Linked DNA regions of Drosophila melanogaster. The protein of the gene in region 1 purifies or fractionates together with the protein of each later gene. This does not show direct contact. Each region holds a gene or a part of one and is shown on either strand. Other genes may lie near its edges. The genes, in order: CG15445 and achi.

Region 1 (16,647 bases):
GAAGTTGAGCAATTATGAAGTTGTTTCAATTAACAAGAATGCAAACAATCGACCCTTGCACTCTTTATTTTTATCAATAATTGTGTTGCGAAAGCCCATTTAAAAACACACCTCTAGAAGGTATTATACTCATATTGTATACTTTACTTTGTTTGTTTTCAGGCCTGGATGCTGACTCGTACAACTGCGTTAAGATTGACTACTTTTCCAATGAGGGTTATCAGCCGGATCCGCACGACTCAACCGCGGCAATACCCTGTAAGTACCAAAGTATCATCAGTTGCCTAAGAACTGTGTGCTATTTGCATGCCCGTGTCTTTTAGAGTAAATGGTTATTCCAAATTCATTTAAGAGTAAACATGTAACTGGAGGTGAGTGTCCGTCCATTTCCTGACCAGGAAGCCAATTACATATGTATATCTAGCTAGATATGTCCGTCTGTCCGTTCGTCAGTATGAGCAGTTGGGACTTAACGTGTTTTAAAAATGGTTTCTTGTTAGAGCTAAGACAATTACTACATAAGACCTACCAATGGTTTGTTTTTGGAATATCTATTGTTGGCATTTTCCATACGATTTTTACGTTTCATAATAAAGCCTCTTCGGTTTATGATTTCTCAGCTTATTTATGCCGGCAGTTCTTTGGTCTACAACTGCAATTATTGGCTGTTCGCTTGATGAATCCATCTTTACTGGCGCGTTATGCAACTAACCCTTAATGAGCTTAACTGGCATTTGGCATTTAACCAGGTGAATGCCTTCCCCATACCTAAAGCCAACTTGCTCCGGTAATGACTGGGCTAAACTGAAGTTGATTTATTGTTGTTAGTTGGTCTACAAACGCACATGCACATAATACAACTTTAGTTGGATGAATATTAATTAAAGGCCTTTGGCCTCCATCTACCAACTTTTGCCCCTGTGATTTGTGGTCTTTTCAAGAACAGGAAGTAGTATGTACAATAATTGAAGTCAGGCGATGACGACAATAGCTGAACATTTTCAATATCCATTAAAAGAATTTCGCCCACATTCCATGGCAGGCGATGCCAACTAGCCCATAAACACATTAAACTGCTTACCGCCCTCTATCGAAAATACCAATATCCACACCCGATTGAAATTCCATTAATTTTCACACAATTGGCCATCGATTTCAAATATTCCCATTCATTTTGTTTTGTCCGAGCGGTCAAAACTAATTTGAAACCGGCCTCAGGGGAGAATTTCGAAAATAAAACTATTAAACAGTCGGCTAAAAATGGATGTCGCTGTGCGTGCGGATTTTTCGCAGGTCCTGTCTCTGTCTGTACGTGTTTTTGCTTAGCCGCAGGATATTTTCTCACTCGTTGACAGGTCAAAGAGAAAACAAAAAGAAAGCAAAAGCCTTAAAGTCAGAAACATGGGCCAGCCAGACTAGTGTTTTCTTTAATAGAGGGGAAAAAAACATGGTCACGATTTTTAAAGTTAATTTATTACGAAAGCACTGTTGCGAATACAAAAAAAAAAAAAATACAATTAATGGGTTTTTTGAAGCATGTAAATGTATACAGAAACAGGTCTTAAATTCGTTTAAAATGGGTTTATTTAAAATATATTCTAACGTAAGAAAATTTTTACTTACAGATACGGTCACCAAGTCGTGTCCTATTTTCCTGGCTGCTGGTGTATTTCTAGTGATCAGCTTCATAGTTTTTCTAATCCCCACTTGCTCGCATCAAAACAATCTGTATTATTTTAGCGCGGGAATTCTTTTCATTGTTAGTGGTGAGTTTTGAAAAATTTGAAAGGGTCTAAGCATAATAATGACACCGAAATTGCGTAATCATCCTGTAGGTCTAGTGATGCTGATTGGATTGATTGCCTATATATCAATACTGAAGGCGGAAATCGGATCGAAGTTAAGACCCCGGTCCACCCTTCAGCCAGCCCTCATCAAGGTCTCCTATGGCCAGAGCTTCTTCCTCTTCGTCTTTGGATTCATTGTCACGGAATTCGTTGGGGTCTTGAATATATTCCTCTTCATCAATTTGCAGGAGGTTAGCTACTACAGTGTGAGTAACTGAGCTAGTCTTAAACAATTCATAACGCTTGGATATATTGCCATTATTATTTTAACTTCATTTTATATTATGACTTTTGTTGTTAAAAGCAATTGTTGAACAACTTTTCGATGGCATTACTTTAAAGTTGCATCTGTGACAGTCGTCGCATTTGTGTTGGTGGTGCACCCGGTGGTACAATCCCCTTAGGAATAGCCCACCTCGTGATTCGTAATTCTCGCGCTTGACTGCAGAAACGTACCAACTTAAATGCAAGCGTCGCCGGATGCGTCCTTCGGGATTAGCTGCATCTTCTGCTGCGCTCTCTGTGTTCTTCACATACTTTATTTCCATACGTACATTTCCCTCCAGCGCTTGCCCTGTTTTAGTGTGGCAAACATCCACGCCAAGTTAAAGGAGGGCCAGCATCCGTTGAGTGATTCCTACAAGCGGTACAAGCAGCCCGGCATCACCACAGCCAGCCAGGAAGGACTTAGTAGCGCGGGTCAAGGTCAACAGGGTCACCAGAGTCACCACCCGACGCACCAACCGCATCCGACGGCGCAGCCACCACATGGAATCCTGAGGAGTGGCAATTCCCGACTCCATCAGGTCTACGATGCGGGACGAGGACACCCTGGAATGACCGGACAGATTGGCCATTCCGGACAGACGCAAACACTACCAGGAGCATGTCGCAAGCATCCGAATGCCGGATCGAACTTAAATCTCTATCTGCATAATGACCTGGAGAGGCGGTAAGCAATTAGGTGTTTAGCGAATTTTAATTTGGACAATTACTGTTAAGTTATGATGAAAATAAGAGATAACTCGATAGTCGGTTGCCTCGACTACCAGATACCCGTTACTTAGCTAAAATGAATTCAAAAGCTACTATTTTTTTGATTGCACATGAATGCCACATGGTGTCGATGTTCGTCCATGTGTCCATCCGTCTGTCCGTCAGTATGAAAGAGCCGCCTTCTATGTACATGCTAAATCATTCGATTTATGCTTGCTACAAAAAATCGCTTTTTTGCTTTGACTATCTTCCTCTCTTCGACTAGGTATTTAATAGGTACCATAAGATAGATAGACAAGAAGAGACGTTCTTTTCTTTTTTAATGTATAATAAATACATATGTATATGTATGTATGTATATTGATGAATGCCATTCATAAGCTATTGTATTTAACCTTTTCGTTTTAGTTTTTACTTCGAAAAGCCAGCTGTGTCCAAGTGTAATCTGCACTCGCGCAGCTTCGCCAAGTCGTTGAATGAGCTTTGCACGGATACGTCCGTGTCCTCCACCCATGTTCCCGCACCCCTTCTCCCTTCCGCTGCCGACCCATTACCTGCCCCCGCCCTGTTCGCCGACTTGCCTCAGGAATTTCCACTCACCCGATCCGTATCTACGGCCACGGAAATATATCCAGCTTCATCTTCGGCTCCAGCTCCGCCCTCCGCTCAAATGAAACGAAAGCAGCAGCGGAACATGGCCACTAATACGAACACGAAGATCTCCAACAATCCCCCATCCTCCAACTCGCAGATGGCAGATCAGTCGCGTCTTTGTGGCCTGAAGCGTGGCCTCCGGAAGACCAAGGATGAGCTATTCCAGGAGTTCTGTCGGCGAGCTGGTATGCGCAGCAAGCCAAAGAACATCTACTACATCAGTGGCGGGGATGAGGCGGAGGAGGAGGAGCAGGAGGATCAGGCCAAGCGGGAGGAAGTTCCGGATGATCCGCATCGCGATGACGACGATGACGCGGATGGCGATGACCACGGTTTCAGGCAGTTCAACCGCATGGAGGAGGAACATCTCTATGTGGTGGGAGGTGAGGTTTTATTCTGGGCAGTTTTTGATTGTTACAATAGATTGTTTTCATTCGAGTATCATTTCATTACGATTATTAAAACTTCTGTTTAATAGAAAAGTATACTTTCTTTCCAGACCATGCCCAATTGGTGGTGCCGCGTCGCACGTCCATGTGCGTGGACTCCATGGGACAGCCGCTGCGCAGACTGAACTCGAATCTGTCCCTGCACACGGATCTCAGCTTCCCCGGAACGGGTGGCTATCCGGGCATGCGAATGTCCCTGCCACAGCCGGCTGATCTCGGCCAGAGTCGCACCTTGCCGCGCTGCTTTCTGCGACAGTCGTCCGATTCGCTGGCTTCCCAGGGCTATCCATTGGGCTCCAGTCAGCAGCGTTTCTCCCAGCTGATGCTGAATCAGCAGCAGAATCGCTTCGTGTCCTCCACGTTGACACTGCCCCAGGTGGTGGCGCCCAAGAGTCAAGTGCAGTGGCCCACGGCGATTCCCTCCTCGCCGTCGAACTACTCGAATGGCTATCAACAGCATCCGCAGCCCATTTACCCAGCTCCAACATCCGGAAGTGGAGCACCTGGGACAACGGCTTCGGTCTCCGGACCACCGAAATTCCAGCGCGGCTACGCATTCGACGATCAACAGCGTAGGTCCAGTTTTGTGAGCGATGCATTCGACCTGGACGAGATCGAGCGGGAGCGACGGCGATCCCATGCCAGTCTATTTGGAATGGGTCAGGTGAGGGATCCCTACGATCTCATCAATGGCACCGCCGTCTAAGATACCCGCAACCACATACTCGTAATCAATAATGCCAAAGAAACGAAGAGCTAGCATTTTTTTTCGGAAGTAAGGTGACAAAAGAATAAGTATATGTCTATTGCAAAAATAAACTATTTAATGATTATATACAATATATATAATAGATGGTCCCAGCAGGTCTTAAAAAATTGATAAACTAAGCGCACAATCAGGCCCACAAAATCTATCAAAAGTATACATACACAAGTGAAAAAAGAGTAGTAAAATTCGAAATAGGTCTTTAAAAATTAATAAATGCGCACAATTTTGGCCAAAAAACAATGAGTTTTATTAATTGTATTATTACTATTTTGTTGCTCTATAAAGAGAGTTTTGGAACCTAAATAGATATATACTTAATCAGTTTGAACATATTAAGCACCTATTCTAGATTTTTTTTACAGGTTTATGCGTTTCCAGAACGCCTGGCTGTACGAAACCTCCGTGCTAGATTCCGCATTCCGCCGCCGGGCTCCATCCGCCACGGCGCTCATGACCAAATCCTCGAAAGCTTCGCCCGACGATCTCCCGGGCAAAGTGCTTTGCGAAGAACTGGAAGTGGAGACATCCAAATGATGAACAGCTGGTTCATTTTCGTTGATTGTGTGAAGAGTGGGAGCCGTGTGGGGGCGTTTCGGGAGCACCAAATGTGCACACAACCCCGGTTCCGATGCTGCGGTGGGTGCACTCACAGGTCTTCCTGTTTTGGCGGGCATTGTAGGTTTTACGGCCTCTGCGCCGCCAAAGAGCATCTGCATCCTGGCCATGGATTGCTGGAACTTTGTACTGGGCGATCTGCCGGCACCCATGGAGGGCAGCTCCATACTGGAACTGCTGCTGCTGCTATCCAGAAGTGGGTTTGGTGTTCTCAGGCCGAGGGCATCTTTGGCCCGTTGGAGGAGCACGTTCATCTCACCATTGCTGCTGCTTCGCGTTACAGCGGGCTTAACATTGGTCAGATGGCGATCCTGTTTCGGAGATGCCTCAGGAATCTGAAATGGCAAATCTGCTAGCCAATTCTTCTTAACGTTTTGCTTCTCCTTCTTCTCCTCCTTTCTGACTGGCATTATCTTGTCCAGCACCTTGTTCCTAGCTTCGGTGATGGCATTCGTAAAGGGATAGCTGTCCTGTTCGTGACCCTCCTCCAGTTCCGATAGCCACAGCGGTGACGACCCCTTTGAGTCCAAGATGGGATCGGGTATAAGTCGCTGGTTGCGCAGCTCCTCCAGTTGAGCCACACTAGCTGCGTCCTCCTTGCGAACGCGTCGATGCCAATCCCGGAAACCGTCCATAGTGCGATGCACCTGCTCTCGTTCCCGCAGGCAGCTGGAGCGGATTCTCCGGGCCCTTGCGGCATCCTCCGATGACTTGTGGGGGGATGTCTTCGACTTGGTTTTCTCCAGGTAGCTGAGGAAACTTTGTTCCAATAGGTCGCTCTCCTGTTCCAACTGCAGCATTCGGCTTCTAATGAAAGTTACATTATTTTAGGAATGCTATACGTAAGTACATGAAATTCACAAACTTACTTGGCACTTAGTAGAGCCTCCTCAAAGCTCGGACCTTCTGAAACTTTGCTATTTACCGGTTTGAGAGGCGTCGCCTTTGGAGGCACTGGAGTTATCGTGTTGGTGGCCACCGAGTGCATTGACGGTTTCAAAGGAATAGAAGATTGGGAAGGTCCTGGTTGAGGTACCGTTTCATCGGGCGGCGGAAGTGCCGGTGATGCAGTGGAGGGCAAAACACTCTGTACACTTGGTGAAGGGCCCCGAGGAGCAGGAACAGGTAAAGGAACAGGAAACTGTTGTCCTTGAGTAGCAGGAGCTCTAGAAACAACCCACATATATGACTTAACACGGAGTAAACGATTTGTAAATTTAAAAACTCACTGGTTTCTATTTTCAGTTGGATGCAGATCCCCAGATACGGGGCCTCCTTGGAATGTGAAAGCATTGGTTTCGCCGGCTGCGCGATGAGCACTGTCATTGTCTGCAGGAACGCTACTCGGAGAAAGCAGTCGTCTTGACGTTTTCATAGGATCACTGTAGATCCTTGCAACTGGGACCAGAGGAACAGGGTGTTCAGAAGCCCCAAGCAAGTGGGCAGGAAGGTGAGTCACTGGCACGAAGGTGCCTGCAACTGGAACTCCACCTGGCGGAGCTAATGCCAACAATTGATAGGGATATCCCAGGTCAGGATACGTGTGCTGTTCCACATGGGTCTTACCAACATTCAGCGCACCATCAGCGGCAGGCTGAGCCGGAGGCGGAGTGCAGATCCCACTGGAAATGAGCGTGGTAGACATCGCCGTGTTCCAGTTGACAGAAGCGGAGCCCACAGCAGCTCCATCCGCCCACATGGGCATGATGCGAGCCGCCTGCTCCGCTGCAAGCTCCGTCTGTTGGATCTTCTCCGCCAGCTGCTGATGGTGTGCCTCGTAGTGCTCCAGCAGCCGGAAGATCTGCTGCACGAGGTCGCGCGCCTCCGCTGACGATTGCGAGTCCCGCTCCACACGCTTGCACAGGGTCTGGAATTCGAATACAAAGTTAGTAATCAAAGGTTTAAAGTTAATACGATTGCAGAATAAATATAATGGCTGCAGCTTATTGTTGTTTTAATTCTCGAGAGACTTACCCGCCAGGAGTTCTGCCGCTTGCTTAGACGAAGCATCTCGGCCTGGTGTCGCAACTTCACCTGGAAGAGTTCATTTAGCCGCACCTTTTGCAGCTCCAGCGCCTTGTTCAAGGAGAGCTCCACCCGTTCGAGGAACACTTGGCCACTGGAGCTGTGCAGCATCTCGTGGATCCACTGTTCGTAGGACTTTTGGAAGGTTGGCGGCTCGCAACTAGCCTGATTCCCAGCGTCCTTTAGCTGCTTTTGCTCCGTTTGGGTGATGACACTTTCATTGTGAGCTGACTTTCTCGATGTTTGGGTGGCTATACTCGCCGTGGGTATCGTGCTCTCCGTTTGCACGGAGCTTTCCCGCTTCTCGGGCAGTGGCCTTTCCTTTTGCCACTTCTTCTGTTCCAACTGCTCCAGTTTCTGACCCTCCTGCAGGCCCATGAAGTGGCCGTGGGCAAAACCCTCGCGGTAGCCCCATTTGAAGCCCTTGTGCATGCCCACAGAGTGCTCCTGCTCCATGGAGAGATTGAGAACGTTGCTAAGTAGTTGGACACAGCCGCACACATCCCCCATCAGGGTCTCCATTCGCTCCATGGAGACGTACATCCGGCCCTGCGGCTGCCGGCTCTTTTTCTGCACCTTTTCGAGGGACTGGCGGATCACGGCCAGGCTGGCCAGTTGTTCACTGTGGAGACGGGGCAGCTGAGGAATGGTCACATCCAGGGCTGGCACTTGAATGGGTCCCAGGTTGGAGTGAACCACATCTTTCTGGTTCCTGCCACTGGTTACCTCATGCTCCTCTTCCTTGTCCCCGGTGGCAATTTTGATCACCGGTTCGCCCGGGTTAAATGCTTGACCAGCTTTCAAAAGTCGCTCCCTTTCGCGCAGCTCCTTCATTAGGAGATCCTCGAATTTTGTCGATGATATCACCTCAACGGGCGGAGCACACGACTTGGCCAAATGGCGGAGATTCTTAATCAGCTGATTAAGCTGCTGCTCCACGGAATGCAGAGATTGCGAGACACGACCGCCCACAAAGACACTTCGGCCATCTGCGCCCAGAATCAGCTCGTGCTCCTCCGTCTGATACAGACCAGTGGTGTCCACCTCGGGACGAGCTTCCACGCAGGCAGAGGGCTCCGTTTGACAGCCGGTGTCTTGCAGAGAGACAGGGACCGGTTGTTCCACCTCCTGCTTAGGCACGGACCTCCTGATCTCCACCAGCGTTCGCATAAGAGCCATCAGCAAGCACTGCGTTTGTCCAGCCAGATCCTCCTCGTAGTGGGCCTCCGCCAGCTTTCCAAATTCCGAATCCGCTAGAGCTTCTTTTTCTCCCAGTATGGCGGCCACGACCTTCTGCAGTTCCTCCGTCTGGAATCGGAACTCCGGCCGACTCCGGAAGTCCGGCAGGTTGCTGCGATGCGGCGTCTCGCTGCAGAAGACCGACAGTGTGAAGTGGCAGTTCTGGGAGTGCAGAAACTCCGCCACCAGAGTGTGCAGCACCATCGCCAGTGGCGAGACGAGCAGTGCGTGGGACTGAGCCATCTGCACACCAGCAGCCTTGCTCAAGAGCTGGCCTGGAACGGGTACATTTATGGTTAGATCGATTAATAAATTAAAAAGGGGGTTTTCAATAAACTTTGAGATGCCAAATAGTAAAATATCTTTCATTAGTTTGATTAGCAAACCCACCGAGTGCCGTATTATTGAAGCAGTGAATGAGCTCCACCCGCAGGTGAGAGTGCATCTCCCGGGCAATCCCCTCCTGGTCCAGCCACTGGCGGAACTTCACCTCGAACTCCTGCTCCGACATCGCGGCCAGTTCCTCGAGCTGTTGCCTCAGCCGTTCCGCCCTGGCATCGGAGTCATCCTGCTCCTCAATCTGATCCTGAGGAATAGGTACGTGCTTTCTGGTAGGCCTTCCTGTGCGGTATCCGTGTGCTCCAACCTCCGGGGGCAATGATGATCCCCGCGTTACTGAACACAAAATGGGATTATCAGTGAATATGAATCGCTATTAAGTTCGTAAAGGTTTATTGTACTGAATATTTTAATTTGAAAAGATTATTTTTCGAACAAATTTGTGTACGTCGGAGTATAAAGATTGCTGGTTTCTTAGAGTTATAATAATAATAATAAAAATAGTTATAATAATAATATTAATAATAAAAATAATTATTATAATAATAATAATAATAGTTATAATAATAATAATACTTATAATAATAATAATAAAAATATTAATATTATTATAAAAATAATAGGCCCACCTCTAGTTATATTTGATGGTCCGCACGGTCCTGGTCTGCCCAGTCCGGTTGCTTGGAGTCGCTCCCTGGACTGCGTCATTCTCCGCCTGGCGGGATCGCCGTCGGTGCTGATCCTTCGATTATGCTGGCGCACCCGCTGTGTCGCCGACGCCGCTGTGGCCCGCTCCTGCTTAATCTGCTCCTCCCGCTCCCGCTTTGCGGCCTCGTGCTTCCGCTCCCGCTCGCAAGGCATGCCGATGCCGCCCACATCCCGCTGCTTCGCCCTGAACGATAACGTTGTCGTGCTCGCCGGCACGTGGCGAACCTTCATGCCGTCCTGAAGGAACTCGAGGCTCGGATGGGATCGAGAGTTGGTCTGCGTATGCTCGGATAGAACCTCTGACCGCCGCTTACATGCGCCGCGTTTGAGTAACTGAACTTTCCAGGTAAAACGAGCACGAGCGCAAGACACTCACCACCAACAGCGAAATGTGACAGGTGCGACGGAGCCTGCCCTGCCACCTGGGAACTGAGTGAAATTGGGGAGGAGGTCAACTCGATCGTCGGGGGTTGGTCCTCCTAAAGGCGTCAGCTGTGTTGCCTATGTGAAGCGTGCTCTAAAAATTAAGTGAAATATATGACAACTGAGTTCTATGAAATGGTATTCTAAGCAAAAGCTTATTTATCATAAGTAATTGCTCACTAATACTTATAACGGCGGCAGTATTTACTGCCGAGCCCATATTAAAACAGCAATACTTCTTGTGGAAGCGTGTATTTGGTGTATTTTTCACAATAATAATATTTTGAATTTTAATTCAAAACAGTTCCGCTTTAAAGTTGGCAGTTGACTATCGATAGATAATTGTCCGCAAAACAGCTGATTGCTAAGTAGTAAGTGCATCAGCCGTACTGACGGTGAAACTGAAATATGAGTTTCTTGCGTTAAATGGTATAGAAATAATATAATATAAATCAACAAGCACAGCTGTGTTTGCCAATGCGTTTTTATAAAAAACCAAATTTGAAGACTTTGACTATTAACGGGCAGAACGTTCATGTCAGTCAGCTTTTGCAAGCGTTTCGCTGTGGCTGACAGATGGCCGAGTGCTGCAAGAGCCGATAGCTATCGAGTTGCAGTTGTTGTGTCAAACGACAAAAAAGACCCAATTGCGGTGATTCCACCAGGCAGAGCTTATCCCATACGAAGACGCAGCACAGTTCACATTAAATAAATTTCCGTAAATAGTTCTTATTTGTCACCCGCCCAAAATTAAAGTCTACTCCACTGCACCCAACCCCGCGATTATCAACGACTGCGCATCGTTCTTTGTTGTTTCGTGTAGAAACACATGTGCAAGGAAGAAGAAGAACCAGAACATCACATCACTCGTAAATAGTAAATATCTAGAGCATGCCCGATCCTTTGTGACGCGTCAGTTTCAGCCAGTTCGCCACAATTTTTGCCAAGTCATCGTCGAAAATGTCACAAAACGACAACCTACTCATCCAGATCCGCGCCCTTCTCCAGTCCGATGGCGAGAAGCTGTGGGAGGAGCCCTACTACTCCGAAGATCTTGGTAGCATCGAGGGAGCACTAGAAGTACGTACTATATGCCCACCACCCCACACCTAAATGCCTTCCAGTCAGTGGTCGGGGAAATGACAAGAATGCCTGAAATACGGTTGGCAATATAGAAATATTATATTCAAAATGCATATATTATATATATATATATATATATATATTATATATTTATTTGTTAGTTCTTTTCACATTTGAAGAAGTAAGAAGCTAGTTTCGACAAGCCGTAACTTATATACACCTTCAGCTAAGTTCATATTATTAACACTTATTTTAGTTTGATTAGTTTGATCATATGATATTATTGTCCAATTAAAAATACTTAAAAAAAAAACAACATGACATTGCACAAACGAATCTTTTAAATTCCTATTATACTTTAATAATTCTGAATTACAAGAGTAACGACAAAGATATTATTTAGTTTCCTTATATAGGTTTTTGATCTGTTTCGCTTCGACTTATTTATAACGCCTAGAATAAAAATAAGATTTTAAACCGATAGATTTGTTGGCGTGTGAAAATGTGATTGCTTTCTTGAATTATTATTTATTTTTCAATAAATAGAGGTTGAGGGATTTTAAAAATAAAGTAAGACCAATAGTAGTCAAAAGAATAGCACATTACCAGCATTCATACTCAGGAACTCAGTAGCTTTGGATTAATATAATATATAATATTTTATTCTATAATAAGATGTGTATCCATTTCATTAAAGAACCTGGCGCAGAAGTACTCCGGCATGTTGGGCATCGATATAGGTCGCTGCAAGTTCTTTTTGACCGAGCTGCAGGAAAATGCTCTCCGTACGCTGGCCGCCCGACGTGAGTTCAGCACCACAGGAATTGCCACGTTGAAGGTTCGCCGCGTTGGCGAGCACAGCGGTGCCACAATGGTGGAAGTGAAGTGCAGCTTGGACATCGTGGGCTCCGAACTCCAGGCATGCATAGCGAAGAAACTGGAAGTGCCGAATGCTGCGCACGTCAAGTGCATCGCTGCCGGCAAAGTGGTGTCCGCCAATGCCACTTTGGCCGACCAGCAGTTGAAGAACAACCAGCAGTTGATTGTCATTGTGGGCGATGGGGATAATTCTGGCGAAGCCCTGTACGAAAGGATCAATCGCATCAAGGCCGATGTGGAGGCGGTGGTGTCCTCGAAGAATAACCTAATAGAGGTGAGTAAATCGGAAGGAAAGTTGCTTAGGTTGTTGTTTAGAAGGTTTTTTAAATCACACCACTTGTTTGTATTTTCGTGTCATGCCCAGATGGAGGATCAGAATGGCAGCCAAGTGTATTTGCCGCCTTCCGAGCATAAAGCCCTGCTCATGGGTTTGGGATTCTGTGAGAAGGCCCGTGCGGCCATGAATCGCAAGCATTTTGAGGAGGCTCTGCTCCTGCTTTTGGAGGCCGACGAGCATTTTTCTACCTGTGGCTCAAAGTTTCTAGAGTCCGTGGATAACTATGCTTTGCTGAACCTCGACATAGTGTGGTGCTATTTTTGCCTGAAGAACGTTACCCAGCTCCCGGATGCTGAGCATCGCTTGGCCCGCTGCAGTCGCAATTTCGGCATCAGCTATGGCGACAATTTGGAGAGGCTGTACTCCTTGAAGGGCAAGGACTGTCCCGAGAGGGCTTTAATTATGCGGCTTAAGTTGCTCCAGGGCGTGATCTTCTTCCACCAGAATCTTCGCAATCAGGCATTTGAGTGCTTCGAAGCGGCTAAAACTCTGCTAAATGAACTAAAGATCAACAACGACCAACTGGCTCTCCTGGTCGATATGGGCTTCGAGCCCTCCGAGGCTCGTATGGCCCTGCGCTCCTGCAAGGGCGGCACCGCCGTCGAACAGGCTGTTCAGTTTATTCACGAGCGTCGTCAGCAGCTCAAGAATGCACGCATGAAATATAAAGCGTCCGAGCGTGCTATGGAGCGCCGCCTGAAGCGCTCCAATTCCAAAGATTGCACCTGGGTGAATCCCCGCAGTGTCTGCAGCCTTGCTGACATGGGATTCGAGAGCGGACTGGCCACTATCGCCTTGCAGCGCTCTAATAATGATATCCTCCAAGCGGTAAGTGTGGCCAAGAATATATTCAATGACATGAATTGATCAGTATGTTTTAACTATAATCTCATGGATGTCACGTGTTTGTAAACTATAAAATAATAGAAATATTTTTTTCTTAGGTGGAACTGCTGCAGACAGAATCGGACGAACTTACTGGTGCTTCGCCATGGTTTCCGGTCACCGTAGACACGACCAAACTGGCTCAGCTTCTGCAACTGGGATTCAACGAGAACGACTCGCGCGTGGCCCTACAGAATGCATCAAATAACATGGAAGAGGCCATCGAGAGTCTGATGTGCGCCATAGAGAGCGAGGAGGAGCTGAAAGCGATTTTAAAGCACGTTGGGCGTTTGGCCGAAAATGGTGGGCAAAATCTTGACGGCCCCTCTACTTCGAACGCCTCCGGGCAGACGCAAGTTGCTTTGCCAGCGCCCATTATCGAAGCTGTTATCAATCATGCTCGCGTCGAGATTGAAACGTACAAGGCCTACGAGCGCTTTAACTCCGACCTCAAACTGAGCGACCTGGAATACCTGGACTTGCCACTTATCCAGGAGGAGAAGATCCTGACTGAGTATTTCAATATGCTGCAGCAGTAGCTTGTATTTGACTTGCCTTTTTTATATCTATACAAAAAAATATAGAAACCCGAAACCGGTTGTCAAGATAACTGTAATCATGACTTGTCTATATTGCAAATCGTAGTCTTATAATGGCACTTAAGTGGCATTCAGCTCCCCTCCCGGCTGCTGTTTGTCCAACTAGGCAAATAGTAAAATATAGAGATTTATAAGTACATGCCTTCTATTGACAACTGCAAAATGTGATTGCGCCGAGCCAGCGGGAGAATTCACCTTTTGGAGCCACCTGAAACTTGTTAGCGCCTCTGGTCATTGCTTATTTTTTTTTTATCGTTTGTTTTTTTTTTTGTCGCTTGACTCTCGACCCCGGCTCGGACGGCGGCGCTTGATTGGGTTCAGTCGTGACCTTGTCGAGGCCAAAGGGCGCCGCTCACTAAGCTCATCCCGTCGACGAATTGAGCGGAACTTACACGATTTGCTGTAAGTATTTGCTTTGCTTAGCAAAGAATTTATTTATTTATTCAAGTAGCACCAAGACTAAATATTATAAGTCAACTAATTGGTTTTCTATATGTATGTACATACATATGTGTAAAATAGTAATTTTCTATTTATACACGTTACTCGCAGAGTGAATAGTATGTAAAATGTTGTCTTGTACAAATTGGCACGGTGCCATAGGATTAAAGTATCCTGCGGCAAATGTGTTGCAAACATGTGTTTTTACATCCTTGTTGGGCGAAATGAAAAATTTAGCAACTGGATTTTTTTTTCCGTAAAAGTATTTGCTCTCATGAAATTAGGTGTGATAGGAAAATGAATTTGGTAGTTATCATACTCTTCAAATATCTGAAAATGTCCTATATCGTACAGTCTGTGGCTATACTTGTGTTTATTTTATAGTGCTAAGCTAAGACACGTGATATATACATAAAAATATAATTTGAAGAAACAAAACTTTATATCTGAAAAAATTATATTAAAGCAAGAATCCAAATCGAAGTAGAATGGTTAAATTGCCAATAGATAGTTCACGATTCTCGATTGGCAATCAGTCATTCACCTATTGGAAAGAGCCAGCACCACTTGGAACCCCCATTTACCCCCAACAACCCTTCTCCAAGTGAAGGCGGTCGCATGCGTGCCTCAAGTGGGAGTGAATGTCGGGTGTTAAGGTAGCACGTGGAAGCCAGTAGCTGACTCAAGCCACTAGGCATCCACGTACACTTATTCCGGAGCAGTTTATAATAATGGCTTGGGCTTAATGGAAATCGGCAGTGAATGAACCCCATCACTGAACCCGGAATGATTTCAAGGAGACTGTAAATTGCACCTATTGTAATTTGCGAACGGTTTTTAAAAACGAGGGCAAAATATAATTAATACATTTTTGAGGTTCTACTAATAAGATTATAGAACTAAAGTATACTCTTGAGCGACATGTCCGTGTCTTGTAAGATTTGCAAAAAAAAAAAAATATATATATATTACACGGCATATAGTCTGTAGTATGTATATAGTATATATAATTCCACCTTATACGTTGATGCGATTTTGGCCTATGAAATGATTAAGACCTGAGTGAACCCAAATCCACTGAACCCGAAATGATTTAAGCTTATAAAAAATTTAAACTCCAAAACAATGCCTATCTGAAGTATTTAAATGTTTCATAAATACGTTTCTAATCTTGTAATTGTATCTAGAGAATTACACTATGGATTACTGACGTGTGCTCTTTTGTCTCGAGCTTGTTTTTAAATTATAATTACTTTAGCTTAACTTTTTGCCACTTTAGTTCCCAGTTTCTATATTGTCATCGCTAGTTGGCCGTTTTAGTTGCTCGCTTCGCTTTATTCCGATAAACAATTTCATAATTCGTATATATAGTTTTAATTTCAGCATTTTTAACGTTTAGTCTTTTTGCGATTTTTGCCATAATGACTTTGGACATTACGCGCAACTGATACGCAGCCAAGCGAATCTGTTGGACATTTGAACATTTGAGCGTGGTCTGGGCCCGTGGACATGGACATGGAGAACCGACTCAGAATGAGAATGGTTCTGGTTGGCCTAATTCCGGGGGTGGAGCGGGGACACGGGCTTCTGGACGGCGACATGGCGAATTTGAATTCGAAAGCACTTGACAGTTGTATGCACTCTCTTTCAGGAATTTCCACTTGTCACCCGGTGTCCAATTTCCAATGGAGGAATCGCTGCGATTTGCATTCTGTGATTAAACCGGTTCAGACGCACTGACTCCGGCGGATTTGCTTCATTGTTAGTCGCAAATTGATTAAATTTCCTGTTTTGAGAAATTCTTAGTGCAATTTACTTTACCTTACATACTTACTAAAAAATATTTATATTTGATTTACACCTGTTTTGCCCGTCATTTTGTACAAGCATGGGTAATACCCCTGATTATCTAATTTAATTGCATTAACATTTAACATACCAAACACTTAAACCAAATACACATTAAATTAAAAATTAATTTATTAAAATTATTTCATGGTGAATTGCAAAACTAACACTTATTCGATTTCACTTCAAAATCAATTAATATTTATTTGACAAGTCGGGAACTGACTATTCATATGTATTTTTCAAAGAGATTTGAAGGTTAGGTTTATATATATCTATTTTGACCTTAACAGAATCTGTAACTTCATCCGGGGATCGTTAGATGTGTCAACTCATTCTCGTGTTTATATCATTCTTGGGTTCCGATCCATTAGCGCAATCCAGGTACAAAGTACGAGCGTTATAGCCCTCTTTACACGGCCGACTGGGTCTCAAAAGTGGCACTAATTCGTGGATTCAGTGTTTCGGGAAGGGTTTCCTATATAGTTTTGGCATTTCATTGGATATAAGT
Region 2 (16,647 bases), on another chromosome or scaffold:
TTGATTTGTGATAGCCTTTTCTTATTAAGAAAATGCGAAATAAAACGTAGTTATAGCGCGATCAATATCGTAGGCTATCCAATGCACTTCAAGCTTATAATTTCCCTCCGGAAAGGGTAGTATTTCGGTGAGCTTGTAATTTATACTATGATATGACATTTCATCCAGCACAAGATCATGCTGAAATGAATGTAATATGAATATTCACTTTAACAACTTCGGGTATACTTACGTTATAAGGACAGGTGTGGTTTATGTTGGAATAATCTTTAAAGAGATTGTAAAAATACAGAGCAATCGGATTGGGATTTCTAGATTTTAGAAATCTGCACCCGTCAAGAGTCATATTGTAGAGAAAAGGCTTATAGCCATTCAAACGTTTATAGAGACCAAATTGCACCTGAATTAAAAAACAGTAACTTATTATAATCGCTTAGGTATAAATATAAGTTTACTAAATTATACCTTAATTTTGGTTACGGGTATCTTTAGTAGTTTAACTTTGAGGGAAACATATTTGTAAGATCGGTTCACAGATTAAAGATAGCAATATTCAAATAGGGAAAAGTCCTTATCCAAGGTCTCGCACTGTACGTTTGTAAATTCCACTAGGGAATAAACCTAAAAGAAGCTTTTAAAATATGACATTTCAGTTATAATAATTCGTTACCTCTGTGAGATAATAAATACAAATCAACTGAAAAGCGACGCACAATTTCAGCTTGATTGCCATTATTTCCTTTTAGTTATACACAGTACAAAGGCCTTCGATTCTTTTTAAAATAATAATACTTTTGACTTGCTTTCTTGTTTCCTTTTTAAGGTATAAACTTAACTATTCACTTTAGTGATTCGCTTATTTGGTATATGTTTCTTGCGCACTTTTTTAAATAGATAAATTGGGAACCTTTTTTATAAGTATGGCTGTGCAAGACGACTGCGGGAAAACAGATCTTGCTCATGGTTTAAATATTGATAAATCGAATAAAACCATTTAAAATTAGAGCAGTTAAAAACCATGAATTTAATGAGATACTATTCAAAATCGATTGGTTTTATCGAGAAAGAAACTGTCATTAAAGTTTTCCATGTGTTTCAATTGTAATTATTTAAGTATGCCACGAAAATATTGTGGATGAACAATAATTTGTGTTTATTATTATGAATACAGCTGGCACGAAATAATACCCATTCTTATAAAATATGTATATATTTTTTGGTAGGAAACAAGTTTTTATATTGTTAGTAACAAGTACAAGTAAGTTCCACGCCCACACTTTTAAAGTATTGTACGTTTTTTCTGATTTTTTATAAACGTAATATGAATATGGATTAATATGATCAGGTGGCGACACCTAGCGGAAACAGTGCTGCCCATCATAAGAACGGAAAAGGCGCCATTTTCAAATATCTCATTGATAATATTTTTCATTAATACAAGTTTAACATTCTTTATCTTCTGAAAATATTGATGCATATCTTAAGAACGGATACATTTGATACAAAAGGATGGTAACAAACGAGATGTTATCACTTTGGACATAGTTTCCAATTTCGTCTGTAGTCCTAATTTAATGAGTAACTTTGCAGGATGCTTGGTGGCGTCTCTTATCACGTCGCTGGCATTCAACGCTGCAGTAGGACGCAGTAAAGCAGCAGTTAAAAACGGCCTCATCCAGGCAATGGTAGCACCATTGCTTCCTTTTCACTTCGGCCAGCTTCCTTTGCGTGGCCGAGAGCTCTCTTCGGCAATTTAGCAGATCGTTATGCGCCTGCAGTATTTCGGCGGTTAGACTATCATATGCTACGGAGTCAGGAATCCCACGAATGGGCACCGGCGATGAGGTATTCGAAGTGGTGTTATTAAGCCGTCGATTCTTTGCAGCGCCGGGAGTGGCTGGAGTCGGCGGGCGTCCTCGTTTGCCGGACGCACTCGTTTCCGTTGACTCCGTGCAGTGGGATAGAGCCACCTTAATGAGATTCTCGGCAACGGTGGGATCTGCATGGAAGCCGAATAGCGAGGCGGAATAGTGGGACAACATCATGTGACACTGCAGTTCTTTTATCGCAGCGCTCAGAGCTCGGGAGTTCCGTGGTTTGATATGCGACTGAATGTCCGACTCGATGGGTGTAATATCACGTTCTGAGATGAGGGCCCGGGAATGAGTGCCACCGAAGAAGCGGACGTCGTACTTGATGGGCTGACGCTTGGAGACGCTCATCACCTGGTAAAGAAATTATATTTATGTGTATATATTACATAGTAATGATAATATCGTACGTACCTTTGCAGGCCACGGTGGTGAGCCCACCTGCTTGGCAAATACCAACTCGTGCCGCTGAAGACATGGCTTGGCGAACCAGAGATCCGACAGGCTGGCCTCGTTGGAATACCTATAGCAGTCGGGGCAACGACGGATTTCGCGAATGTCGTGCGTCACATCTCTCATCAGCCACTTGGTGGCATTGTACTCAACGCTCTTTTGCCCAAAGAACACGGCCATGTTGTGCTGCAGATCGAGCAGATCCATTAGGAATTCTGTTAGGTACGTATACTTCGCCGCCGCTATGTTGCGCTCGATGTCGCCCAGACCCAAAATCTTTGTCTTGAAGAGTAGCCGCTTAACCAGCGCCTTGTCGCGTTCGTTCCAATGCTTGGCCATGTACTTGGCCACATCCATGGAGATCCAGGAGTGATGCTGGTCCCAGGAGTACTTCAATAGGCAGCCCAGCTCTTGCTTGTCGAGTTGCGGTGGGTTGTGGAGAGCGGCCAGGGCGAGCAAACGGCAGTGGGTGCAGCGCTCCAGATCGCTTCCCTCATCGCTATCCAAACTGCTTTGTAGTTCGTCCTTGATCCTGGGCAGCTTTCGCTGGCGCGCGCCCTTTTGTTCGCACACAAAGAAGACGTCGTCGTCCCACTCGATGTTCTCGTGCTTCAGGAAATCCGTAGTGGCTAGCAAAGTCTGATTGATGTTGCTATTATGATCGAGCAGGGGCGTTGGCGTTTGGGGAGTCTCCAAGTTCTGAGTGTTATTCAGGGGCTGATTGTCCAATTCGTTGACGGGAAACTGGTAAGGTTGGCCCTTGTCCGAGGGCACTGAATAATTGGGCTTCTCCGGGTCCTGTCGCTGGCAATTCTCGTGGAAGGAGCGATGGCAGGATATGCATTTCTTAACGGCTCCGGGCAAATGGCACTCGAAGCAGAACGGATCAATTGGTGAGCTGGGCAGCCGGCTTACTTTTTGACAAAAGGCGAGGGCCAGACGCTTGGACCGTCCGCCGCCTGCTCTGGCCACCAGTATGCCTCGCTCCGTGGCATTTTTCACCGATAAACTGGCTGCTTCTGAAGTTGGATTTTTAGATGTTTGAGACAAACGTTATGGATTGGACATTCAATGGTTCACTTACCTGCACTCATTAAATTGAGCAGGGAACGCTCTAGGACTGTCGCCGGCTGCCCAACGCCCTTTTTCAGCTTGTCCATCCAAATACGGATGGCTGAAGGTGGAATATCGCTGGCCATTTCATTTGCGTTTTAAAGTTTTCTTGCAAATGAAATCAATTTTTGGCTAACTGGAAGCGTTGCCGGACTGCTGGATTGGGTGAACTCGCGTTGCCAACTATAGGCAACAGGAGCTGCCACGTAGGGGTAACTTTAAATTTACATACAAATTTATGGATTTTTAAATGACTCTACTTAAAAGTAAGTTTGTAATTATATGCAGCATTCCATTTTTAAACATTTGTGAAACAAAGTATCTGAGTTTATTTCAGTAACAACTTGCTATGATTCGTAATAATGGTATTCCTCGATGGCATTTTCACACGGATCAGCGACGGTAACACTGTTGAAAACAAAAAATATACACAACTTATACAATCCGAGACAAAAACGGGGCAAAGGAGGCGTGTCTAGAAGAGCGGAGGACGCGGAGGTGACCCCAAGTCATGGCCATGCTGACGCGATTGACCAGCAGCGGCACCACCACGGTGGCCGGAGCACCCGGTTCACCCAAGGGCCTGCAGCGTTTCCAAAACTACATCTCGGCCTTCTTGTGGCCGGGAACGCAGCGGCAACGTCGGAAGTCCACACATCTCGATCCCATGGACTGTTTCACCAACGACTTGGTGACCAGAAAGACCCAAAAGTGGGAGGAGCTGCGCGATAGCCTGATAAAGAGGCCATCGTCCGGAAATCTGGAGGCGGACGCCAATTGCAATGTGGGAACGCAGCGAAAGGCTGGTAGTACCAGCTTTAGCCAGAACGTGGGTCTTATGTCCAAGGGCATGATGAGTGATCTGAAGGCGCTGCGCTCCCCCCAACTGGGACTGGATATCAGATCCCTGTCGCAGGCGCAGCTGGACAACCTGCTGATGGCCACGTTGGAGATCAAGAACAAGCTGGACTTTCTCTACCTGATACGTCAGTGCATCCGCTGCAACCTGTTGCCCTCCAACGAGGTCTTCGTGTCCTGTCTAAAGTATTTGAGCGCGCAGCGCAAGCTCCAGCAGTTGGAGGCACTGGCGGAGACCTGTCGGCAGCTGGAGCACCCGTTCTCACAGACCTACGCGGATCTGGCGCCCTTCCGCGCCATCGCCCTGTGGAACAATGGTAACGCCGACGTGGCCCTGATGACGCTACATCGCGGTTACGGGGTAAGCATGACTTCGGAGGAGGGCAGGCGGATGGCGCGCTCCGCATTCCGCACCATTTCCGAGGAGACTCTGGCCCAGAAGAGTGAGGCGGTGCTAGTGTCGCTGCTGGAGGTAGCGCGTGCCATTCACCGCGAGCACAAGGACATCTTTGTGGTGGCCTGTGTGTGGAAGCAATGCTTCGCTAGCGATTGGTTTTGCGATCAAAAATCGGCTTCGGAACTGTTTGAGCACTACAAGGAGCTGCAAGAGCTAGTGGAGAGGAGGTAAGTCGCTTTAATTTCTTTAAAAACCCGAAATTTGAATCCCAATGTAACCTTCCTTGCAGAGCCAGTTCTTTGTGCTCTTCATTTCTGGCCCGTAACAATGTTGATGCGGTGCATCGGCTAATCGAGGCGTTCTTGCAGCACCAGCAGCGTTTGGCCTGCTCCAGCTGCCTCAGCTTGCTCTTTAACTATCAATGTGAGTCTGTGCAACACAACCGAATATTATGTAACTCCCGTTTCGTTTTTAGATATGCGCAAGGATCTGCGAGCCTGCGCTGAGATTGTCAAATCCTGCAGTGAATTAGAGATGCCGCTAAATGAGCTGCAGAACGAACAGTTCCTCAGTCTGTTCCTCGACCAGAGCGATCCTGTGGACTCTTCGGGAATGGCCAGCAAGTACAAGGCACCCAAGTCCTTCCAGTACAAGTTCTAGTCCCCAGTTTCCATCGTTAAGCCGTTGTCATCGTAGTTACAGCACAAGTGTTTGCACCATTGAGCAATATTGCAAGCATCCCCATATTGCAAGCCCCCACAAGGAATGTAGTGTCTCTTCAATAAATGTTATTTAATATCCATCTTCAGGTGGCTCCTTCATCCACCATGTTGCCCTCGGGCAGTTGGCCAGGCAAAATGCCGACGCATTCGTAGCAGCGGGATATCAAGTGGTTGCCGCATCGATGTTGCAAGCACTGTTGGCACCGCGTCCGCGATTTAGTGCCACGCTTATTTCGAGCGCAGGGCTTGCACCTGCGATGCTTCTCTCCGTACCGACTAGCCAAATTAATGCCCAAGGGCAGGCTCATCTTGTCGGGTGTTAGCACGCCTACGCTGTGCGTTAGTTTCGCCTCGCCGGTCGCCTCACTGAGCAGCCGCTGACTGGATTGGCCCAGGATTTCGCAGATTTGCAGTCGCATCACGAGCGAAGTGCTGGTGGATCTTCGCTGAAGGCGTCGCTGTAATCTCTGCTGTGTGAGGAAGAGTCCCAACTGTCTCTGGAAGTCGCGCTGATCCATAGCGGCATCGCCTTTGGGCGAAAGTCGTAACAGGATCCATGCATTCACGGCAGCCGCGTTGAGCACAAAGTGAAGTAGTTGCAGAAAAGGATTGATCTGCTTTTTCAAGGGTGCGGGCGTAGCGTGGGCTGTGCTGAAGCGCTGGGAGTGTTCGTAAAACTGCTGACAGGCTTCTGAGGTTTGCTCATATGCCTGGACTGCATCTACTTGGGAGCTAAGACCGCAGCAGAAGACTGCGTCGCCATCGAGCGGAATGAGTTTTGAGCTGCCACCAAACAAGGGTGATTCTGTGGGCCACTGCCGCGGCCAATGTGGCGAATTGGCCTCCAGCTTACCCAACGAGCTTATTTGCCGCTGCGCCAACTGCTCGCACTGCGTCAAGTTTAGATACCGTGATCCCAGCGTTACATTTCTTCCCGTGGTCTTGAAATCGCAGATCAGTTGTTCTACATCCTTGTCCGGACATCTCTGGTTTCTGCTTACCACTGCATTGGCCATGTACAGTGTCCTGGCATCACAGCAGAGGGTCATCCGTGACTTGGCCACCGCGCAGAATGTCTCATCCACGGTCAACCAACTGCTGCAGCCGTAGTAGGATCTGCAATTGATTATAAGGCGCTGCCAGAGCTTTTGGCCCTCGGACCAGCCGCAATTTCCCGCCAGACACTCGGAAATGCTTTCGAATCGAGCGAGCGACATGGATGCTCGGAATATGGCATTGCCCAGCTCCAGGGTCCACAGCTCATCCAATGGCCCATTGTGCCTGGCATTTCGGAACACTCCACAAAGGTAGCTTAGACCCAAGAATGCCCGCAGCTCCACAACGTCTAGGGGTCTCTGGACACTTGTGGCCGTTCTCCGCTTACGCATCTGTTCATTGATATGGCGAAGTAAAGACCGCAGCATTTCATCATCGAAGAGCAGCATCCATGCTTCCACTGCATTGGACACTGTTCGGGCGGGTCCCTTGCCACAGGCCTGTTGCCCCAAAAGGGGTAGATCCTCTGCAGAAATATCTGGGCTCCTGGTCACGCTCCATAGCTGCCCACAAGGAGATGTGTAGTTTCCGTTATTATTTGGTGGACGACCACGTCCTCGCTTCGGGGCAGCTGGCCTGGCGGAATCCTCCTTCTTCAGCACCACGTCAGCCAGTTGGTCCTCGTTCATCAGCATGTCGCTGTCCTCGAAAATCCAGGGAAAATTGCATACTGCTTCCTGTAGCGGATCGGAGTCATCTCCGTTAAAGGAGGCACTTTGGACTGTGGAATCGACCGGCGGCAGCCGCTCCTCCACCTCCATCTTTTCACCATCCTCGTCTTCTTCCTCCTGGTCGCTACATTTAATATTGGCCAGCAGCTCCTCGTCCAGCACGCATTCCATTGTTTGTTTATAAACTTGCAACAAAACAAACCTTTTCAGTCGTCGATAGGTTAGGACAGTAACGTCTATACATATCGATAATTTATATAGTTATCGAAAAAGACATTTAAAACATAAATCTTAAGCTTGAAAGGTTGAAAACTTATAAAAAAAATAGTTTGTTCTATTTAGAAAAAATTATGTACATTCTAAATATAACTTATTTATTTTAAATGTAGATTTAATTTCCAGCGTAGAGATAACTAGTGTATGTTTATAATTCTTAAACAAATTATACTTAACAAAACTTGTATTTATTCTTGGCGCCACTGTTCAAATTTCAAATGAACCTGCCAACTGAACTAACTCCCCAGTGGACCCCCATCCATGATTTATCGCACATAAGCGGCTATCGGATTTCTTTCGCCACTAATTTGTTGTTTGGCACGCAGCAAGGAAAAGGAATAAAACGCTTTAAAACCAGTGCCAAAATAGCTTTCCCCAACGTTCGTTACTATATTTACGTTGTCTGCAAAAAGAGTTTGTCTAATTGGCCTCGATACTACGGTTGTGACGACTGCCCCGTCACTACAGTTTGCTGAGTGCAGTAACCGGGGCCTGGCTGAAACACTGGGAAAACCAGTGTTTAGTGTAAATAAATGATAGTGGCACCCATTCGGACATCGCAGGTGAATCCCCGGGAGCTCAAGACGCCCGTTATTTGGGCGCGCAGTGAATTTGTCAAAATATTTTGGTTAAAGTGTCAATTTGACATGTTATATGTCATGGTCTCTCGTGTGCCAGTGCGATAGTTATCGATAGATAGCCCCAACTTAATTTGTTTTAAATATTTTTAAATTTCTTCTTTACTTAATTCACTACTGTAATACGTTCGTTTAATGTATAGTTCCTTGGAAATTAATCGATTTAGCAAGTAGACCGATTGGAAAGAAATCAAAAATCGATTTGAAATGCGTATTTGAACCTTAGTTGGCCATGACTTTGGTGTCTGAATGACGCCTGCCCTCAGAAAAAGTTAGTTGAATCTCAAAGTCTGTGGTGACAACACCTAAAGAAACTAAAAAGTGACAGGTTTCTCTGTTTGTAAAAAAAAAAAAATTGTAATTAAAGTTCTGTTCTTTTCCTTTCAATATTTGCATACCGTTTCTGGTTGTGTTTTAATGAATTTTCTGTTTTCTGAAGCTTAAGTCTGAGCTGCAATGATCTCGCCGGAACAAGAAGAGGTCAACATGGTCCTGGATCGCCATGTACGGCAGAATATCCAGGACATGATGCACGAGGCTCATGTCCAGGCGAGCCTGCTGGAGAACGAAGGTGAGTTTGCTATATTTCGGTCGAGTTCGGTCTTGTTCATGCCCGTTTTTTTTGCATGTCATCTGCAGGACGCGGCCGTTTCCACTCGGACTCAAGTTTGGACCAGGATTCTCTTCACGCTGACGTCATCGTGGAGGAGGATCAGAGCACCGAACACGGCGCCAACCAGGTGCAAAACTACCACGACATGATGGTGGACAGTGAACACCACATCGACATAAATGGGTCGCTGCGCAAACGTCGTGGAAATCTTCCCAAGACCTCTGTAAAGATTTTAAAGCGTTGGCTTTATGAGCACCGCTATAACGCCTATCCGAGCGATGCGGAGAAGTTCACCCTGTCCCAGGAGGCCAATCTGACGGTGCTCCAAGTGTGCAACTGGTTCATCAATGCCCGTCGCCGCATTCTACCGGAGATGATCAGGCGCGAGGGCAACGATCCTCTGCACTTCACCATATCGCGACGTGGCAAAAAGGTTAGCCCCAACTGTTCGAGATCAAGTGCGTTGGGCGCAAACTTGACTGGGCCGAATCCCGCACACGGAAGTCCTGCTTCCGAAGTGGTGTGTTATCTTCTGGTCAATCATTATACCACTGAAGTTACTAAATTGCTTGACTCCAGGTCGTTGGCGCTACAGAGGAGGTGGATGGCGCCGGTGAGATTCACGAGGGCATCGCCAATGTGCTGACCAACTTTGAACAGTATGTGCAGGGCCCCAACGGACAAATGGTCAAGATGGAGCCGGAGTACGAGGACAGTGTCATCTACAGGTAACTGGTAACCGGTCTTTATGACCTGCTTCCCTAGCGTTAGTCACTTCTATCTCCTATCCCATCCCACCTATGTCCAAACTCCTTTTCCTCTTCCAAGCTGGCAGCAGGCCATTGCAAACAACCCGATGGGCTTTCAAAGTCTTCACTCCTCGCTTCAAGCAACCATGATCGATAAAATTAAAAACTATCAGATGCGCAAGGCTGCCGCCATTGGGGGTTCGGCGGTTGGCTCTGGTGGTGCTGGTGGGTCGAGCTCCAACTCCAGTCCTGCCACATCAATACTGCCATACAGCCTTTTTGGCCAGCTGCCGCCAGAGTTCGATGACGAAGAAAAGCCAAGACCTCCGAAGCGCGTAAGAACGCGGACGGTTGCTGCAAAGAGTCCTAGGGAGAATGCCAAGCAAGCAAAGCAGAAGACTGGGAATAAGCAAGAAACCATGTACTGCTATAAGGATTCATACGGCGGAATCGTGGTGTCTCCTAGGTACAGCTTCTGCTCCCATTGACTGATCCAGAGCCTTAAATCTTACTCAAGTGCGAGTGGCGGTGCTAAGATTTTACTTTTACCCCCAGGTCCGAAGGCGAAGAGAGTGCACAGGGATACGAGTCCTGTGGGCCGAACAGCGAGGAGGAAGTACGCTTCGAGACCTCCCATGATTGGCAGAGCGTTATAAAGTAAGTAGCTATGTGGATGTATTAAGAAAATATTGTAATCTCGGCCTCTGCAATTCCAGAACTGTATTTGGTACTGAGGAAGTCAGCACTTCGGCTGGCAATAATCCAGGTACCTCTGGTTCTAAGGGATCTGTTCAGAATACCGCCATCTGGAATCGCAATCAGACTGCGAAGCGTGACGGTGAGTGAAGTTTGCAGACTTAGAGCTCGGTTTCTTTGGTAATATCCAACTCTTTTACTCCTAAAGTGAATCAACAGTTGACTGACTTTGAAAGCGAGCTGAATAGAATACAGGCCTCAGAAATCCAGACAATCGATCCTACCAACTCCAATCAACAGGACATTGGTGACAATCTACAGGCGGACGAGGTGTTTACCGGTGCCGAAGCAGAAGCTGGCCAGAGTCAATTATCTGCTATGTCGCAGGGTAACCTATACCTATTTTTATCAACTTTATATTGAATTTTTAATTATTTTATAATCTTGCTTTAGGCACAAGTCCAGATGAGCGTGCCAAGTACAAGTGTCTCTATTATCTAGTGGAAACTGCCATGGCTGTGCGCCAAAACGATGACGTCCAGGATGACGATTTCGTTTACATGGGAGACTAGAGCCTCAAACCAAATACCCACGCTACAGATCCCGACTTCCCAAAGTGCCGAAGCGTGTATATACAAATATGTATATATAGATATATATATATACTTAAGTAATTTAATCGAACAGCACTAGACCCAAAAATTTGTCTATAACCCCCATGTTATTGTGTTAATTGAGTAGGTTACTAACATAACGTACAAAGCTATAGATCAATTCGCAATGCGACCGCCCAAATACCTTTTTCCACAAAGTCAATTCACAAACAAATCGACTTAGTTTTGGACCTGACTCTTTTAAACTTAACATGTACACTACTGATACTTAAATAAAACATAAACAAGCATTTGAAATACACATTGCCATAAAATGATGGTGTGTTTTATCTAATTGGCTGATAGAGCCATTTTTTTAAGGTATCTAGTAATTATGTACACATACATACATAAAATGAGAACGTTTGTGGAAGGACAAAATTAATTTTGTTATAAATATTATAAATGTATTGGAATACTTTGGTTACCACAGATAATAAAGAGTGGCGCAAAAACAAAATGATTCGATTTTTAACTATAAAGCTATAGAACAAAAAAAAAGAATGATATATTCGAGTTCCCCGGCTATCAGATACCCGGTACATATATGTGAAAATGTGAACAAGAAATTTCATAATTTTTCTGGGGTATTGATAGATAATTCGGAAAAAAGAAATATCCAAAAATTTTCAAAAATGAGGGCGTGAGTTTTGCGCTGTTTTAGGGCGTTACAGTGGGCGTGGCAAAAAGTTTTCATTTTTCAAAAGTGTGGGAGTGGCATTTTGTACGGTTTGAAAGCGTTGGAGTGGACGTGGCAAAATAGGTCCACAAACTTGTGATAGTTCCTGACTTCATACGAACGGACAGTCAGACGGACGGACGGACAGGTCGACTCGGGTATTGATCCTGATCAAGAATATATGTGTTTTATATGGTCGGAGAAGCTTCCCTCTGCTATTACATACTTTATAACGAATCTAGTATACCTTTTTACTCTACGAGTAACGGGTATAACAAGTGACGATCGCACCTCCAACATACAAATCTTCTGAAATCAAAATGATATTACATTTGACCAAATAAATGCGCTTGTCTAAATTTTACAAATCAAAATTTTTATAAATTTTGGATAAGGTAAAAAGTACATTTCGAGACGCCCGTTACTTGGGCGCGCAGTGAATTTGTCTAAATATTCATGGTCTCTCGTGTGCAAGCGCAATGTTTGTGCGATAGTTATCGATAGTTGGCCCTAACTTAATTAATTTTAAATATTTATAAAATTCTCCTGTACTTAATTACTTACTTTAATACGTTCGATACAAGCAGACCGATTGAAAAGAACCATTTTTAAAAATCAATTGAAAAAATTTGTTTTTGAACCCTAGTTGGCCATGACTTTGGTGTCTGAATGACTTGCCTGCCCTCGGGAAAAGTTAGTTGAATCTCAAAGTCTGTGGTGACAACACCTAAAGAAACTAAAAAGTGTCAATTTTCTCTGTTTGCAAAAATTGTAATTAAAGTTACTGTGCTTTTCCTTTCAATATTTGCACACCGATTCTGGTTGTGTTTTAATGAATTTTCTGTTTTCTGAAGCTTAAGTCTGAGCTGCAATGATCTCGCCGGAACAAGAGGAGGTCAACATGGTCCTGGATCGCCATGTACGGCAGAACATAAAGGACCTGATGCACGAGGCTCATGTCCATGCGAGCCTGCTGAACAACGAGGGTGAGTTTCCTATATCCCGGTTGAGATCAGTCTTGTTTATGGCCGTTTTTTTCTCCAGGACGTGACCGTTTCCACTCGGACTCCAGTTTGGACCAGGATTCCCTTCACGCCGTCGTTGGGAATGATCTGAGCACCGAACAAGGCGCCAACCAGGTGCAAAACTACCACGACATGATGGTGGACAGTGAACACCACGTCGACATTAATGGGTCGCTGCGCAAACGTCGCGGAAATCTGCCCAAGTCATCTGTAAAGATTTTAAAGCGTTGGCTTTATGAGCACCGCTATAACGCCTATCCGAGCGATGCGGAGAAGTTCACCCTGTCCCAGGAGGCCAATCTGACGGTGCTCCAAGTGTGCAACTGGTTCATCAATGCCCGTCGCCGCATTCTACCCGAGATGATCAGGCGCGAGGGCAACGATCCTCTGCACTTCACCATATCGCGACGTGGCAAAAAGGTTAGCCCCAACTGTTCGAGATCAAGTGCGTTGGGCGCAAACTTGACTGGGCCGAATCCCGCACACGGAAGTCCTGCTTCCGAAGTGGTGTGTTATCTTCTGGTCAATCATTATACCACTGAAGTTACTAAATTGCTTGACTCCAGGTCGTTGGCGCTACAGAGGAGGTGGATGGCGCCGGTGAGATTCACGAGGGCATCGCCAATGTGCTGACCAACTTTGAACAGTATGTGCAGGGCCCCAACGGACAAATGGTCAAGATGGAGCCGGAGTACGAGGACAGTGTCATCTACAGGTAACTGGTAACCGGTCTTTATGACCTGCTTCCCTAGCGTTAGTCACTTCTATCTCCTATCCCATCCCACCTACGTCCAAACTCCTTTTCCTCTTCCAAGCTGGCAGCAGGCCATTGCAAACAACCCGATGGGCTTTCAAAGTCTTCACTCCTCGCTTCAAGCAACCATGATCGATAAAATTAAAAACTATCAGATGCGCAAGGCTGCCGCCATTGGGGGTTCGGCGGTTGGCTCTGGTGGTGCTGGTGGGTCGAGCTCCAACTCCAGTCCTGCCACATCCATACTGCCATACAGCCTTTTTGGCCAGCTGCCGCCAGAGTTCGATGACGAAGAAAAGCCAAGACCTCCGAAGCGCGTAAGAACGCGGACGGTTGCTGCAAAGAGTCCTAGGGAGAATGCCAAGCAAGCAAAGCAGAAGACTGGGAATAAGCAAGAAACCATGTACTGCTATAAGGATTCATACGGCGGAATCGTGGTGTCTCCTAGGTACAGCTTCTGCTCCCATTGACTGATCCAGAGCCTTAAATCTTACTCAAGTGCGACTGGCGGTGCTAAGATTTTACTTTTACCCCCAGGTCCGAAGGCGAAGAGAGTGCACAGGGATACGAGTCCTGTGGGCCGAACAGCGAGGAGGAAGTACGCTTCGAGACCTCCCATGATTGGCAGAGCGTTATAAAGTAAGTAGCTATGTGGATGTATTAAGAAAATATTGTAATCTCGGCCTCTGCAATTCCAGAACTGTATTTGGGACTGAGGAAGTCAGCACTTCGGCTGGCAATAATCCAGGTACCTCTGGTTCTAAGGCATCTGTTCAGAATACCGCCATCTGGAATCGCAATCAGACTGCGAAGCGTGACGGTGAGTGAAGTTTGCAGACTTAGAGCTCGGTTTCTTTGGTAATATCCAACTCTTTTACTCCTAAAGTGAATCAACAGTTGACAGACTTTGAAAGCGAGCTGAATATAATACAGGCCTCAGAAATCCAGACAATCGATCCTACCAACTCCAATCAACAGGACATTGGTGACAATCTACAGGCGGACGAGGTGTTTACCGGTGCCGAAGCAGAAGCTGGCCAGAGTCAATTATCTGCTCTATCGCAGGGTAACCTATACCTGTTTTTATTCAACTTTTTAATTATTTTATAACATTTTTATAATTTTATTTTAAAATCTCGCTTAGGCACCAGTTCAGATGAGGAGGGCAAGTACAAGTGTCTCTATTATCTAGTGGAAACTGCCATGGCTGTGCGCCAAAACGATGACGTCCAGGATGACGATTTCGTTTACATGGGAGACTAGAGCCTCAAACCAAATACCCACGCAACAGATCCAGACTTCTCAAAGTGCCGAAGCGTGTATATACAAATATGTATATATATATATATATATATATATATATATATATATATATATATATTTAAGTAATTTAATCCAACAGCACTAGACCCATAAATTTGTCTCTAACCCATGTTATTGTGTTAATTAGGTAAGGTTAGTAACATAATGTACAAAGCAATCAATTCGCAATGCGACCGCCCAAATACCTTTTCCACCAAGTCAATTCAGAAACAAATCGACTTAGTTTTGGACCTGCCTCTTTTAAACTTAACATTGTGTACACTACTGATACTTAAATAAAACAAAAACAAGCATTTGAAATACACATTGCCATAAAATGTTGCTGTGTTTTATCTAATTATTAATATTTTGATAAATTTTGGATAAGTTTAAGAAAAAAGTTTTAAACCGCTTTTACAACGTAAATCATTAAATTGCCATTCTATAGATGTTTTCCCCAAACAATTGTTCTTTCCTAAATTGGTACAGTTAATGTTTCATTTATACAATTATGCTTTGAAAACATATTTCGAATTAAGTATCAAAGCATTTTCCTGAATGATGGTTAGTGGCCTTCGGAGGGTGTCTGATTCGTCACTACGTAAACTATTTATGGTGGTCTAGCGTGTTACAAGCTCTGCGAGTGGAGATACTCTTCAAAGAGTAGGAGCCGATTTTTCAATTGCATGTTTGGTATAATTTCTTGATATGCTTTCGTACATTGTTGCATTTTTATTTATTTATATCCATTAATACCAATTTGACGCACATTCTTATATTTACCTTCATTTGACGTCCCAGTATGTTTTGGTATTTCCCAGTATAATATTCGGTTGTATATACCGTCCCGTTTTCGGTATTTTTCATATGACTAAGATGGTATTTCAACGCCATTTTCGTACGGTCAGTTGCCGATTTTGTTTTTTGTTGTTTTTTTGCAATAAATGTTTGCCCAGCAGGAAAACTAACGACGCCAATGGCAAAAGCGGTCCGTGCATTTGTTTAATTACTGTCTGTACCGTACTCAAAATACTGGATGCCATGCAATACCGACCGCATTACCGCTCCGCACCCGTTGTTCGTCGTCTTGCTCGCTCGCACTCCTGTGGTCGTGTGCACTTTGTGTGAATTACTCGTACATTGCAGCACAAATAAGTCGATTGCCGAATACAAATATGTAAAAATGTAACGCCAGTCGCCGCACAGAAGTCGCAAAAGCAATAGGACACACACGCCACATAGGCAGCCATTCGTTGGCGCACCTGCCAGTTGCACGCTTATCTGAACCGCACCAGCAATACCCTAGAATCGCAGCAGTAGCTAGCCCCGCACCCCGCCCCATCCCTTCGGAGCGACCACAGTTGTCCTGCCGACGGAGGAAATAAGGACATGCAAAGAGCATTTCCATACGCAGTGTGGGTAAGTCTATAAGTACACGGATGAGATGTCTGTATGTATGTACATCTGTCCGCAGTATTTACGCGCCTGTGTGTGTGCGCGCTTGGGCAGAGGCTTACGCAGTGAATTTGGGAGGGGCTTAAACCCCAAAAAGCGGCAGTGGGCTGAAATGTCCATTCAGAAATACCAGGAAACCCCCTTTGAACTTCCCCTTTCATGTTGAAGATATTCTTTTTAATTTGGCACATAGTGATAACAATAAGAATATTTATACATATATGAATGATATTTATGGATTTAATTTGTTTTTTTTTGTATTAAAAGTTGTATGTGCCCCCATATACACATCCCAACATATTCCAAGATAATAAATAGTTTACCTAAAATAAAGTTAACCATTTCATTTGTAAGAAATAAAAAGTAATGCACCCCTTTTATAAAGAAACACAGTTTACGCCACTGATATTTGTTAGTACGTGCACTGTAATATTTTTTGGCTATTCAGTATTTGCACTCTTACTTTCGGATTGCCTCTCTCCTTTGCGGCTTGGCCCCATTACCTCATGACTTGCTCAATTTCTGCTGCCGTAGTCTCGTCGCATTCAAGATACTGTGTACATAATAATATACACATTATATGTATATTATATTTATTGCCCCACGAGAATTCCAGCTGACGATCGGGTGAGCGGAAGTGAGATATATGTACAGTGGCTCGCAACT

What was found.
Region 2: the proteins of CG15445 (region 1) and achi purify together in Drosophila melanogaster (affinity purification with mass spectrometry, with the first as the bait; 2 studies listed by BioGRID). This does not show direct contact.

What each region holds. Positions count from the first base shown.
Region 1 is NC_004354.4:21,106,472-21,123,118, forward strand, and holds CG15445 (uncharacterized protein), read left to right. Parts: upstream 1-10,689; 5' UTR 10,690-10,933; exon of another isoform or gene 10,934-10,991; 5' UTR 10,992-11,024; coding exon 11,025-11,144; intron 11,145-11,844; coding exon 11,845-12,300; intron 12,301-12,390; coding exon 12,391-13,191; exon of another isoform or gene 13,192-13,276; intron 13,277-13,307; coding exon 13,308-13,787; 3' UTR 13,788-13,973; downstream 13,974-16,647. Other genes in the region: stg1 (stargazin-like protein), read left to right, coding at 163-258, 1,626-1,766, 1,836-2,053, 2,414-2,799, 3,252-3,880, 3,997-4,652; unc (uncoordinated), read right to left, coding at 5,072-6,137, 6,200-6,496, 6,560-7,197, 7,305-8,869, 8,985-9,269, 9,563-9,872.
Region 2 is NT_033778.4:12,506,109-12,522,755, reverse strand, and holds achi (achintya), read left to right. Parts: upstream 1-7,693; 5' UTR 7,694-7,980; intron 7,981-8,357; exon of another isoform or gene 8,358-8,412; intron 8,413-8,494; 5' UTR 8,495-8,511; coding exon 8,512-8,626; intron 8,627-8,694; coding exon 8,695-9,188; intron 9,189-9,247; coding exon 9,248-9,396; intron 9,397-9,496; coding exon 9,497-9,883; intron 9,884-9,972; coding exon 9,973-10,074; intron 10,075-10,133; coding exon 10,134-10,255; intron 10,256-10,321; coding exon 10,322-10,501; intron 10,502-10,566; coding exon 10,567-10,685; 3' UTR 10,686-11,222; downstream 11,223-16,647. Other genes in the region: CG8569 (uncharacterized protein), read right to left, coding at 1,572-2,225, 2,286-3,343, 3,409-3,523; CG8818 (uncharacterized protein), read left to right, coding at 3,949-4,919, 4,982-5,115, 5,168-5,352; CG13151 (uncharacterized protein), read right to left, coding at 5,498-7,312; vis (vismay), read left to right, coding at 12,317-12,431, 12,490-12,890, 13,037-13,185, 13,286-13,672, 13,762-13,863, 13,923-14,044, 14,111-14,290, 14,369-14,487.